Canis lupus familiaris: one gene and its partner. The main gene of each other region encodes a partner of the protein of the gene in region 2 in a complex. Links are inferred from orthologs where the notes say so. Each region holds a gene or a part of one and is shown on either strand. Other genes may lie near its edges.

What was found.
Region 1: the proteins of MCM2 (region 2) and DNAJC9 are in contact, whole or in part, in a crystal structure (PDB 7CJ0), measured with the Homo sapiens proteins. The link is inferred for Canis lupus familiaris from reciprocal best matches to the Homo sapiens genes MCM2 and DNAJC9. Residues at the interface, in NP_004517.2 of Homo sapiens: Glu65, Glu66, Glu67, Asp68, Glu104; in NP_056005.1 of Homo sapiens: Lys185, Arg189, Arg192, Lys244.

The regions. Positions count from the first base shown.
Region 1 is NC_049225.1:24,557,433-24,564,368, forward strand, and holds the start of DNAJC9 (dnaJ homolog subfamily C member 9), read right to left. Parts: upstream 4,175-6,936; 5' UTR 2,286-4,174; coding exon 2,106-2,285; exon of another isoform or gene 1,971-2,105; coding exon 1,830-1,970; exon of another isoform or gene 1,618-1,829; intron 1,037-1,617; coding exon 782-1,036; intron 1-781. Other genes in the region: MRPS16 (28S ribosomal protein S16, mitochondrial), read right to left, coding at 4,628-4,761, 5,238-5,498, 5,927-6,131.
Region 2 is NC_049241.1:1,717,286-1,723,577, reverse strand, and holds part of MCM2 (DNA replication licensing factor MCM2), read right to left. Parts: intron 5,775-6,292; coding exon 5,555-5,774; intron 5,270-5,554; coding exon 5,062-5,269; intron 3,435-5,061; coding exon 3,300-3,434; intron 3,016-3,299; coding exon 2,824-3,015; intron 1-2,823. UniProt on the Homo sapiens protein: Acts as a component of the MCM2-7 complex (MCM complex) which is the replicative helicase essential for 'once per cell cycle' DNA replication initiation and elongation in eukaryotic cells.

The DNA of each region.
Region 1 (6,936 bases), on a different chromosome or scaffold from region 2:
TACCCACCAGAGATCTAAATTCTTAGACTGCTCTCCACTGAGCTCCTACTGGGAAAGCCAGGTTATGGTTACTTCAGTCCCAGTCTGGTCTTCCCCACAAGACACAAGCTAGCTACCTTGAATCCACGCCCTCCCAGAACTCAGCTGTCTATCCTTAAGCTCCTTTTCTCTGCCATCATTCCTACCCTCACCAATTCCACAGTTTAATAAGATACAGAAGCCACAATTCTTGATTCTTCACAAGTGTTCCTCTCAAAGCTTGTTTGGGAAGACACTTTCATCAAAATAAACTAAATCATTTGTTTAGAAATGTATGTTCTAGGTCCAATTTAAGAATCAATCTGGACAAAAACAACAGAAAATCTGTATGCACAAGACAGAGTCAAAAAAAAAAAAAAAAAGTTTTAGCCATCCTCTCCCTGTCTCTTAACTGAGAACCACTGTCCGTCCACCCTTTGTATCTGGACTCCATTACTTTATTTTTTGAGCAATGCCATGAAAAAGCTAAAAGAACTAGCCCATATGAAGAATATTTCAGTGCTATCTTAAGATGATATTAAACAATCCACATAGCAAAATCTTCTTGAGCACAACATACTAGGGAAAAAAGTTGCTCTTGATGAACTGGTATGCTCATTTTATTAAGAAAAGAGCTATATAACTATAGAGTTAATCCTTACTCTCGTCTCAATAAACTTAAATATATTTCTATTATTGTAAATACCTTCATATTATTTTTAAAAGCAATCAAGATATAAATTAACAGCATTCAAAATCTTACCCTCCTTTTCCTTGCATTCATCTTTTGTTTTGATTCTTTGACAAAGGCATTATAGGAGGGGATCTCGCCAGCATCAATGGCTTCCTGAATAATATTCCTTATCCTGGGTTCTTCTGTGTACTGCACGCACAGCACAGACTCCATGATCTGATCCATGTCACCCTTGAAATCCAAATAGGCCTGTTTAATATCTGCCAGCTCTTCTTCAGAGCCTTTGTAGGTCTTTTCAAAAGCCTGAATGTCTTCTAAAGATATCTGGACAAACAAGAGATATATACTTTAACTGTGAGAATTTTATTTTATTGAGAATTTTATTTAAAAAAAAATATACTAGTAAAACTAGATTTAGGTATTGAGATGTTTCTTCCCAAGTACAACAGTGGCTTGAATTGAATTTGTTGCAAGGAACCACGCTTTTTTTTTTTTTTGGAACCACGCTTTCTATGCCAAAGTTTTTCCAGAATTCTCCCCCCAATCTTCACAACTACTAAACTACAGACCAGGAAAATTTACGTGAAGTTTCCCAGAACTCAGGACTTACAGGTAGAGATATGTAAAATGGAGCACTATCTTTTTTTTTGGTAAAGATGTTATGTATTTATTCATGAGAGAGAGAGAGAGAGAGAGGGAGAGAGAGAGGCAGAGAGAGAAGCAGGCTCCATGCAAGGAGCCAGATTGGGACTCGATCCTGGGACTCAAGGATCTCGCCCTGGGCTGAAGGCAGATGCTCAACCGTTGAGCCACCCAGGCGACCCTGGAGCATTATCTTAGAAAATAAAAAACCCTCACCTTTTTCACTACACTTGCTCTACATCAGCAGGAAATTAAATACTCATTTCAGTAAATGTATGTGTGATTTATGCTGTTTCAAATGTGTTATCTCCTGGGAAATACTTGCCCGTGTGTGTATACATATTTATCTGTATTTGAAAATGAAACAAATTCCTCATTCCTACACAACACAAAATGCAATACCTTAAAGCGTTTCAATATATCGTTTGTTTAATGAATGACTGGAATAATCAAAGAAACCTCCAGACTCCTCTACCTTTTTAAAAAGTAACCTCCAATAGGCCTCCCAGTCCCGATCTTGGTTAAGCACATCAGAATCTTCGTCCACTGTTCCCTGCTCATCGTACAGCGCTCTCTGCTCTTTGTCGCTCAAAACAGAATAGACTTTCCCGAGGATCTGCGAGGAAAGAGCATCCAAAAGTCACCCTTGCATCCTTCACTGCAACCGCGCTGCGAGAAATAAAGATTAGAAAACACCAGGCCAGGAGATCGAGAGAAATCCAGGCAGCCAGCGGAGCCGGGGCTCGCGTACCTGGAAGCGGCGGGTGGCGTCCTCTTTGTCGTCGTCGCCGACCCGGTCCGGGTGCACCTGCAGGGACACTTTGTGGTAGCCCCGTCGGACCTCACCGTCCGAGGCCTCGCGCCGCACGCCCAACACTCGGTACAGGTCGGCGGTGCCAAACACTTCCTCGCACAGCTCCAGCAACCCCATGGCCGGCAGCCAGGGAGGGCGCCGCAACCTCCGCGACACTGGGTACAGCTTCAGACTGCCTCCTTTTCCCGCGCAAAAAAAAACCCGGGAGTGACTGCGTCACAAGAGGCGCCGGAAGGGCGTGGCCACGACGTCGCACTTTACGGCAGCTGCAAGTGGGGGCGTGGCCAGAACTTAACCGAAGGTCGGAGCGGCGGGCGGGACCTCGCGTGTTGGGTAGCGGAGCGGGAGTCGGGGCCGCTGCACCCTCCTCCCCTTAAGAAATCTGGCGATTATCTTCTCCCCGGTGTCCCAGTGCAGCAGCTCATTCAATAGATGGCATGTCCATATTACGTCTGAACCATACATTGCCTTTTGCCTTTTTTTAAGTAAAAAAGTTCATAACACCGACATTTGAAGACCTGACATGGTTCAATGTTGTTCTTTTTCAATGATCCTGACAAGAGTACACAAACTCTAAGACCTACAGGTTGGGACTGCTGGGTAAGTACTCTTCCCTAATTCCTGCAAGAAAAAAGCCTAAACTAAAAGCACAAAATACTAGTCTTTTAAAAATTGTAACATTACAGAATCATTCCCATTCACCTTCCAGTTCCTTATCACCTTCCACTTTGGTTAAGAAAACATGACCAAACCCTCATCTGAGTAAAAATAAAGCTGCTGAAAAAAAAAAAGAAAGAAAAAAAAGAAAGCTGCTGAAGCAAAGGCTTTTTTTTTTTTTTTTTTAATGCTTTCTAAAGTGCAGAGCTGGGTTTGAGCATGTTGGATTTGAAACAAGTAAGCTGATGTAATCAACTAAGATGGTGAGAAACTGTGCCAGGTGATGCAAAGCAAGCATAGAGCTAGAGAAAATTGGAAATCAGGGACAGGATGAGCTCATACAGGGAGTATGTCTATACACATCACAGGGGACAGACAGACCAGGGCACAAAGTGAATACCTGAGTTGGTGGAAACTCAGTAGTCCAAAATACCTTAACCCATTTCCCAGCAGTTCCCATTACTGGTCAGTGTTTTTCATGATCATTCTCTGCTCTAGCAACTAGTTTATCCAAAGATCTTAAACTCTCCAGAGTACATTATTTTTAACTTCCAGAGTGCCCATAGTTTTCATAGCATTCTTCTTTCCCAGATCCAAGATCAAATCCAAGTAGTCAGCTGTTCTTGCCCTGCCTTTGAAGTCCCCTCAATGCAAGGGAGGCCAACCAGTGACAACCTTGGGAGAGACTTGACTCATTATGGTTGGTAACTGTTCTCAGTATATAAAACCCAGAGAATAAAATAAGTTGGTACATTGATAGGGCTTTAGTATCTCCTCTATAAATTTTCTACATCCTAGTCTTATGCCAGAATTTGAAATCTGTATTATCTATAGTGTGCACAAAACCCCTGTAATCCATGCTTGTGATTGTCCTGCAATTCTGGTGAAGCAGATGTGACATTTTGGGCTTGGGCCACAGCCAGTCATGTATGTTACCAAACTCACGACACCTAAACCTCATATCACTGGCTTTTTAAGTGGACTTTTGAAAAGCCCCTCATCTTTACTCATCTCACACCAATCCTGTCCCCGACCATATAATATGTTGGAAAGGGCTCTCCAGGTATGCGTATTGGGGTCTGAATCTTAGCTCTGCCCAAATCAAAATAGATGGCGTTGGGCATGTTTCCACCCCTGAACCTCAATCTCCCATCAATACAAAGGGAGACCATCTTTCCCACTTTCATGATACCTTATAATCCTCACAAATAATCTTAGTTGTAAAGGGTCAAAAATGTATGTAGGTATTGTTCATTATTACCTTTCTTCTAGTTTCTCATTCTTAAGTATGCTATCATAGCTTATAAGCTCATAAAAAATCTACCCTTGTAAATCTGAGATTGAGTCAAACAAGAAAATGTAAATCTACAATTTCACATACACAAAATATTAATAAGCAAAGTAACTATATTCTTGAGCTAGTGGGATGACCAAAAATGATTAAGGAAGAAATTGCAAGGATGGATCATGGACAGGCTGGCTGGAGCTTTCAAACGGGGAAGTCTTAGAAAGCAGCAGATTGTAAAGTTGTCCAAGAGTTCTAAGGCCCAGCCCAACTCCAGCACACCCCAGAGCCACTGTCTCTTCCAGATGAAGGCTGAAAAAGCTAATTAGTACCTAGACCAGCTCTATGTCAGAAAGAACAAATCTCTCCCTGAGTCGTGCTCAAGCCAGGCCAGAAGAGCATGCGTGACTCAGAAAACTCCCATTTATTGACCTCCAAATCTAATAAAACTAAGAGCTCTGCACAGGTGTTTTAAGATGGCTTTGACCTTTCTCCCAATGTTCTCTGCTCACTGAAGTCAGCTGGTTTTTGTTTCTGTAGCCTCTGTATCTGTTTTCTGAGATGCTAAGACGACTTCACGTGCCCGTTTCCTTCGCAGCCTCTCAGCATTTGTGATCATCATGGGATGCAGAGGGAAAAAGCCAGAAAGACCTAAAAGCAACAGGATTTTCATTCATTATAACATGGTATAACCAGGGTTTCCCTGGGAGCTTAGCCTTACAGAGCCGAGGTCTAACAGAGACCTGACCTACAGCATGGATTTAAAACCTGCTCCTCTCTTGCCAAACTGTCTTATCTCTTCCCCCCAGTCCTTCCCCTCCATTTACTACAAGGAGACAATGGATGTTACTTCCTATTGTCCTGATTTGAAAAAAAAAAAAAAAAAAAAGACAGATATTCATTCAAGAAAAGCTATTACTATTTTCAACACAAAATCCCATTCATCGAAAAGTCTCCTAAAAGAGCCCACAAAAGAGGTCTCCAGTCAAAATGACAATTAGATCACAACTCGGGTTTTCACTCTAGCCCTGAGCAGCCTGAGGTAACGAAAGTCACTCTTAACTCTTATTCCGAAACGGACTTCAATTTAAAATCCCCTCAATGAAGCAAATCTAGAGCTGAGTTACCCAGAAGCCTCTCCACAGGCTTAGAGAGGTGGGCCCCACAGCCAATCCAATGCCGGATCCGCTCTAGGTTGAGAGCAACGATTTTCTCCCCGTGACTGTTGGGCAGTGGATCATAGGAGCCCAGCTGCTCCACGAAACGGCCATCCCGGGGGCACTTGTTGTGAGCAGCCACAATGCGGTAGAAAGGCCGGTTGGTACAGCCGCTCAGGGCAAGGCGGATGGTTAAGTGGCCCCCGTGGTAGGCCTTGCGCAGGACAGGAGCTGCAGAGAGAGAAGTCGTTAGGACACAAGCACCGAGTACATAAGAGGAACAAAATGAGGCAGATAAAACAAGCCCCTTCCTCGACTGAAGCATCCATCCTTACATCCACCCATTATTGTCGACCCGGCTTGGCTACTACATTTTCGTGAAGCTCCTCCCATGCACTGCAGCCAGAGCGACCGCCTGAAGCCGCTCCACACCAGCCCGCCTGTAACAGAGACCACGGCGGCGCCTCAGCTGCCTCACCTATCAACTGAAAGCCACTTACAGACTTTCGGGAAGGATTCAGTGAGAAAAACCTAAGGCGACGGACAGACATAAGGCAGTGCGGCCGCTGCAGGTTCGGGTTGCCTCCAGCTCGCCTAGGAGAGCGGCTTCATCGGCTCCCCTGCTCCCGGCCCCCGCGACCGCCCGGAAGGTCACTCACTGAGCTGGACCATGGTGCAGCCGGCGGGCGCCGACTCCCGTGCGCCCCTTGCCGCGCCTCCGAGCGCGCTGCCGCCCGTCGGGCGGGGCGGAGGACCAACGCGGAGACGGCCACACCGCGACACCCCGAGCCTAGAGCCTCGCAGCGGGAAGCGCAGGACCCACTTGCCCCGCCCCTTCCGCTCTCCCGCCCCTATATTTCCCATAATGCAACGCTGTGAACCCTAACGAACCTAAACTGCCGCAAAAAAGTCGCGCTGTAACCTGCGTGTCGCTGGGGTGGAAGCGTGAGCAAACCTGTGTGGGCGCAGTCGGCCTTCGCTGGACTGTGGTTTCCTGGCGGAGCGAGCGGTATCGGGAGGATCCTGGGGAGCGGCCCGAAGGGCTAAAGTGCTCCACAAATCCATCCTCCAGCGCACGTGTTTCGCGCACCTGGCTAGAGCCATAGCTCCGAACGCCAGGCTGAGGGGGCGCGGTTCCCGCCGGATGGAAGCCCCCGGTCACGTGGGGAGGCGCTGCGATGACACCAGAGGCCGTAAGGGTGGTCAGTACTCAGTCCTGGGGCAGGAGGCGGGGAGGCAGCCTGAAGCCTCCTTGGTGCTTCCGGAAGGCCTCTAAAAGGAAGCGGCGTTAGAGCCACGTCCGTTACGAGGACTGTAAATGAATGGAAGGTTTATTTTATTCTTCTGTGTTTATTAAAATGCCTCTCACCTGGTCTCCCAGGTCTCCGTCATATTATCTGCACCGTCTTTAAAAAATTAAGGAAGAGGAGTCTTTATTTCTGGTTTTGCTATGCAGTCATCCAGGGGGATAGTTCCTTTGTCATTAGCCCTAGAACACTGGCCTCATTTGAGGTTTGCATCTATTATAAGTTAATGGACTCTTCTTGGAGCCCTTGTGATTTAGATCCGCGAAGGTAACCGTGGTGAGAGGTAGTCCGTACCTCCATCCTCAACAAAGACTTCTGTCCAGCTCTTTTCACCATTGGGTCCAGAGTTTGGCCACCACTAA
Region 2 (6,292 bases):
CAGGTATAACTCTCTGTCACAAATAAAATCTTAAAAAAATAATAAAAACAAAAAAGGTAAAATCAAACCCAGACCTGCCAAGGAATGACCTGCTTCCCATGAAGTAGTCCACTTAACCCTCATAATGATCCTAGTTCCTCCATATCACTAAGGAGGAAACAAACCAAGGCTCTGGTCAAACTGTTCCTAAATAAGAGAGGCGGGACCTGACCCCAGATTCCTCTGAATCTGAAGCTCATGCTCTTAATTCTCAATACACACCGCCCCATCCCCCTGCTCAGAACAGCCCAGCATAGAGTGAGGCCAAGTTCCCACCTACACAGCTACTGTGAGCACAAGAAAGTGCCCAAGGGCTATTTTTATCCTCCTCCAGTCCACATACACTGTCTGGGGGGGGCACACCCATCCAGTTTTTGTAGGAACAATTTCACTTTTGTACTGAGCATGCAATAGCACAGCATTCACATGTGCACCTCTATGTAACCTTCAAACAACTCTACTGGGTGCTACCCACCACATCTCACCCATCTTACCCATCTCACCGTATAGAGGCCAGATGCTCATCTGATCACACAAGGATTACGCCAAAGTCCAAACCTAAGGAGTCTGGCTCCAGACTCATTCTCCCATTAGTTGTTTAAAATCTGTCAGGGGTGCCTGACAACCACTGGGCAGCTCAGTGGTTGAGTGTCTGCCTTTGGCTCAGGTCATGATCCTGGGGTCCTGGGTTCGAGTCCTGTGTCAGGATCCCCACAGGGAGCCTGCTTCTCCCTCTGCCTATATCTCTGCCTCTCTCATGAATAAATAAGATCTTTAAAAAAACAAATAAATAAAAATTTTTAAAAATCTAAGTTTCAGGCATGGCATCTACCCCTTGACTATTTCTGTGATCAGGCACCACAAAATCAAATGTCCCATAGGCAAGTAAGCTGAGCTCATCAGGTTAGAGGGTGGAGCAGTGGGTGGCTGGGACAGATAGCAGGGAGCTGTCCCCATCTGAAAGGACAGCTGCCCCTTGGCTCTCCCAAGAGTAGTTGCTGGAGAAAAACAAAGACCTAGCACTGACGGGTGCTTGGATGGTCACAAACTGAGGCTTCCAGATTTTTAGGTGCAATCTCTTAATTCCTAAAGGATGATAACTAATTCAAAACTAAATGCAATAAAAAAAGAAAGGGAAATAGAGAACCACCTACCAACCAAACCCGTCAGCAGGATGCAAGTGGCCCATAGGCCACTGATTTGCAAACCTCTGGCTTAAATAATTCAAATGAACCCCATCATTTTTGGATCTTGCCTGTCATCCTTTCAGTTTGTCCCCAAAACTGCCAAGTATGGTTTCTTTGTCCAAGTTCTTGGTAAAAATATCCATGCTAACAGTGGACAAAGGGGTCAGTACAGACCAACCCTCCCTGGTGATCATGCAGCCCTCCCTCCCTGACAGTGTTCAGAAAGGTGTCCCGCAGAGATGTCATCATCTATAGGAGGGGCCCCTCTAGATCCTTCTCAAGGACCTGTTTAGAAGGCACCCTCTGCAACCCTGTGGAGGTCACTGTGTAAGTGTATAGGTTTAACTGAACTTGAGCAGCCAGTACCATGCTAGGACGTGTCTGCCTGGCAAGATCAGCTATGCAGACAAAAAGGCAGACAGGGTAACAGCTATCGAGGTCCAGCAGTGTGGCCAGAGCCTTCTATGTTAGGGCACCGAGGAGCAGTTCTGGAAGTCTGGGGCACAAGGCATACACAGGGACTGCCCTGTCCCAAGCCTTGTTCAAGTCCAGCACGTCCTGTCTTCTATGCTCTATCTGCTGCTGTTCCTGTCTCCCCAAGAGAGTGGGAGAGCAGTGGCTGAGAACTGAAGCAGAGGGAAGAGGGCAGTGGCAAAGTGTTCTAGAAGCACACTGCTCCTTCAGTGCGTGCTCACAGCTGATGCAAGCCAGGTGCGGAAACTGCCTCAAATACTTGCGAAGAATCTGAAAACAGGACCATTGTATTAGTACTAATTTTCCTCTGCAAAAAGCAGGAAACAAAGAATCGTGGGTTGTGGCTGTCTTCCTCGGTTTCTGATTCTGTGAAAAGGTCCTGTTTCTTTCTTATCATCGGGGACCCTGATTAACTATGAGCTCCAGGAAGGGAAGAATTGTGTCTGACTTCCCAAGATCCTAGAACACGGCCCTACAAGCATTCAAGGTCTGAGCTTGCTGGCAGAATGAAGCTCTCATTCTCCAAGGTTGGGAAAACCCCTACCTATCCTGGTGGAGCCCCAAATCTTGGTGGCCGAGGTGGACATGATGGAGGTGAGTGCGTCACATATGGTCCTGCCCTCTAGGGAAGGATCCCGTTTGCTAAACCAGCCAAATGGAACCTGCGCTGATTCACTGATTCACCTGAATTGAGGGTCTGGCTCATAAATCCCTAGCTCCCCCACCTTCAGCAAAAATGTCTACAATTAAAACAAAAAGACCTCATAAACCTAAAACCAACTTGGGGATGGTGTTCTTCCTAGAGAAACAAGAGTTGGTAGGAGTCTGATTTCTTTGTAAGAGGAGTTATTCCTACTGTCCACCTGTTTCAGCTTTGAGCCTGGGCTTGACTCGATCCACTGACTCCTCACCACAGCCCTGTCCCACCGAGAAGCCAGTCTGGACACCAGCACTCAAGCTCCTCCTCAGAGTGCACCGCCCCCTCTCCCTCAAGGCAAGTTTACCAAGCCAACACTGGGAAGGGAAAGAATGAAGAAGGGTAGACCCCAGGACCTGGGAATCAGAACCATGGTTCTGGGTGCTCCTCTGGGAGCACGACAATCCCACCCAGACTTCCACCTGCCTTCTCCCCAATTTGCTGGTCCTTGGAGAGACTGGTTATCATCTTCACGTCTTCGTCTGTCAGTTCCCCCACAGCGACCTTATTGTCCTTCTTGGCTACGTGGTTGGCTAAGATGACAGTGGCAAAGACAGGGAAGCCGTTGGCCGTGTTGAGGGAGCCATCATAGTTGTTGTGGTAGATGCCAGTCAGCTCCTGGGAGAGGAGAAACAATCCAGAGGCCCAGCCCGGGGTTAGACTCAGGGGTGAGGTCCTCCTCCCCACTGCCTCCATTGTCTGATTCTCCTCTTCAACTCCTCTATACCAGACAGCAAAAAGAGTAAACCAGAAGATTAATCCAAAACATTCCACCGGCCAGTCCTTTACAAGGAGGGAAAGACTCTTCTTCCCACTGCCAGCAACCCTCTCTGCACCATAGATGCCGATGCTGATTTCCTTAGCAACTCGGCTCCCTCTGGGCCTGCTTCTGGGCCACTTACTATCTCATCTCCTGGCTTGCAGCTGTCCACCAGATCAGCGAGGAGGATAGCATCCTTGGAGCGAGGCAAACGGCCAGCCGCCACTTTGCCAGGACTTTCCTGAATTCGGATGCGCTGGTAGTTCTGGTAGATGGTCTATGTGGGAAAAGCAGAAGGTCAACTTTGGACTCCTTCAAGCACTGACTTATGTCACCTGATCCTGGCCATGGCCCCATGAGGAAGGAGAACAGACAGGATTCTTATTTCCATCAACTGACTAGAAAATGGAGAGCCATTCTAGAGAAGATAGGGAACAAGCCTATTGGGACCAATGCATCAGTGGACAGTCTCCACTGCTGCCACTACCCCGTGGATGCCTCCTGCCAGTCAAGCACCTGCTATATGCTGTGGAGCCAAGCCCTGCTGCATACAGACGCCACAGCCAGGCTGCCTAGGTTCAAATCCTAGCTCCGTGTCTTGAGCTGTGTGATCTTAGGCAACCATGTTCCCTCTCTAGGCCTTCTCTGCGGAATGGGGATGGTAACGCTCAAAGTAAACCCTCAGGGTAAGGATTAAACCATGTCCTATGTCAAAAGCACTGAAATCAATGCCCAACAAACAGTGAGCTCCACTAAGTGTGGGCTCTGCTGCCAAATGTCACATGTCAACATTTTGCTGTGCAATTTAATGTCCATTATTTCATTTCATGTCTAGAAAAGAGGCCACATAACACAGCCGTTAAAAGCAGACACTCTGGGTTAAAATGCCAGAGTTCTAACCTTTGGGCCTCCTCCTAGCTGTGTGACCTTGAGATCGGTAATACCACCTGCCTCAAAATGTATAATGAAAACTGAATTATACATCATCCCCTACTGGCACCTTGCAAAATACTCCAGAAACCTCAGAAGTAATTATTACTCATGTAGAAGCAGGGCCTGAAACCCTGTTCCTGTTTAGACTTCTCAAGAAGCTTCTAGGAAAGTAGACTCTTAAGGAGGATGAGCTAAGCAGGCAGGGGACTCTGGGCAAAGGTGTGGGCTCGGCTGACATGTGGCCTTGCAGTTCACCCGACCCAAGCAAGGTGCACCTCGACTTTACATCAGGTCTGCTATTGGCTCTGGGCTGCCACAATCATAAACCCTCAGGGGTTTTCTGATAAAGTGGTCTCAGCCAGAGCACTTCTCAGGCGCAGAGTGCTGAGAGGTCAGCAGCAGATAATCGCAGCAAGGCCATAAAGGGAGTCTGGGCGTCCCCCACCAGTACAGGGATGACCCCAACTGTAGAGATGCAGTCATTCGAATACAAAGACAAATGTCCCAGCAGCTTTCAGCAGGGCCTCCTGAATATGGCACCGCGATGTCTAAGCTAGTTATAAGCTAGAGGCCCCCAGTTAGAGGCCCAGAGAGGTTGGTACCAGAAATGTCAAGGGAAAGCCCCTGAGTAAGGGATGGGGAAACAGGTGCCTTACTATGGGGGCAGCCTGACAAGTGAGCCCAGTTTTGCCAGATCTACACCCCCAACTTAAAAAAAAAAAAAACAACACATCAATTTTGACATTTTAAACAAAATGATCTAGTTTTAAAATATTGGCATAAGTTCTTGAAAAATGCCCCACAGGCCAAACTAAACAGGCCAGCCAGATAGATCTGATTTGCCTCAGGGTGTGGCGAATACACAAGTCTATGCTGTTTTCCCACAGCTGCCCTGCTAATCTAACTGCTTAGAGGTGGGGCAGGCCCTGTGTAGACAGGAAGGGCAGCCAACAACGGGTGCAGCCTCTCACCTCCTCCATGTTGACTTCAAAGGGGCCAGCTGACTGACACTCAGGACAGGAGCCTGGCTTCACCTCCTGGTTCTGGGACTGACAGAAGGGCCCCAGCACGAAGCTACACTTGTTGCAGTTGTACTTGACCATGCTGAGCTGGGGCAGGACGCCTGTGCAGCTGGTCACCACCCCGCTGGTGCGGATTAGCTGGTTCAGGTGCAGCTGCCTGCAGACACGAGAGGGCATATCAGTGGCCTGGAGGGCCATATGATTGATCCATGCCATTCAGAGATTGGGGCTATAAGTGAAGTGGATCTGGAAAATTTGGGGTCTGGAGCCATCAGATCCACATCATTACAACCAGTACAAGCCAGAGTGCCAGGAGTGAGAACTCTCCTTGGCCATAGCCAGCCCACCCAGGCCTGTGGCCCTGTTGCCGCTCCCTCTAACGAAGCTGAGCCACAGGGTGGTGGGAACCCAGACCCTCAGGCTCACCCTGCCCTTGGCTTACCTCAGGGAGCGCAGCTCCTCTACCAGAGGCAGGTGGGAGATGCGCACATGGATGTGGCTGGCGATGCGGTCGTATTTTGGGTACATGGCCAGCACAACCTCCAGGGCAGCCTCATCAAAGATCTGCAGCAGCTCTGCTGGTGCCTCTGGCAGGAAGTAGGCCAGGACATGCTCCCGGGCTGCCAGGTCTTCATAGTTCACTACAAGGCTCTCGCGGTTCTCTGGTGGTAGGAAGAGAGACCAAGCAGAGCTCAGCCAGGGACACAGCAGGCAATTTCTTTCCCTTATTATTGCACAAGGGGGAGGGCCTGCCCACCCAAATCCTAGGCTTGGCGCCAGAAACCCCAGCCCTAATTTGAGCGTGCCCTGCTTTAGCTACACGACTCAGATGAGTGATACATCCTGAGCCTCAACTTCCCAATCTGTAAAATGCGGACATCACACAGCATATGAAATCACATTAAGGGAAATAATACATGCGGGATGCCTTTTACAGGAGGACTGCAAACTCAAAATGCCTAAAAGGGCCAGGAAGGAAACCTGTGAATAAACTATGTCAAATACAAGACAAAAAGGGAGTGGAGTGGACAGCAGGGGACCAAGATCTACATGCCTCCTCTTAAATGTAATTCCCATTCCACAGAAATGTACTACTTTCTGACTCAAGTAGTAATCCAGACTTTTACATCAAACATGTCTTATCTTAAGCATGTCAAACACCACTTCTGTGGTCCAGACG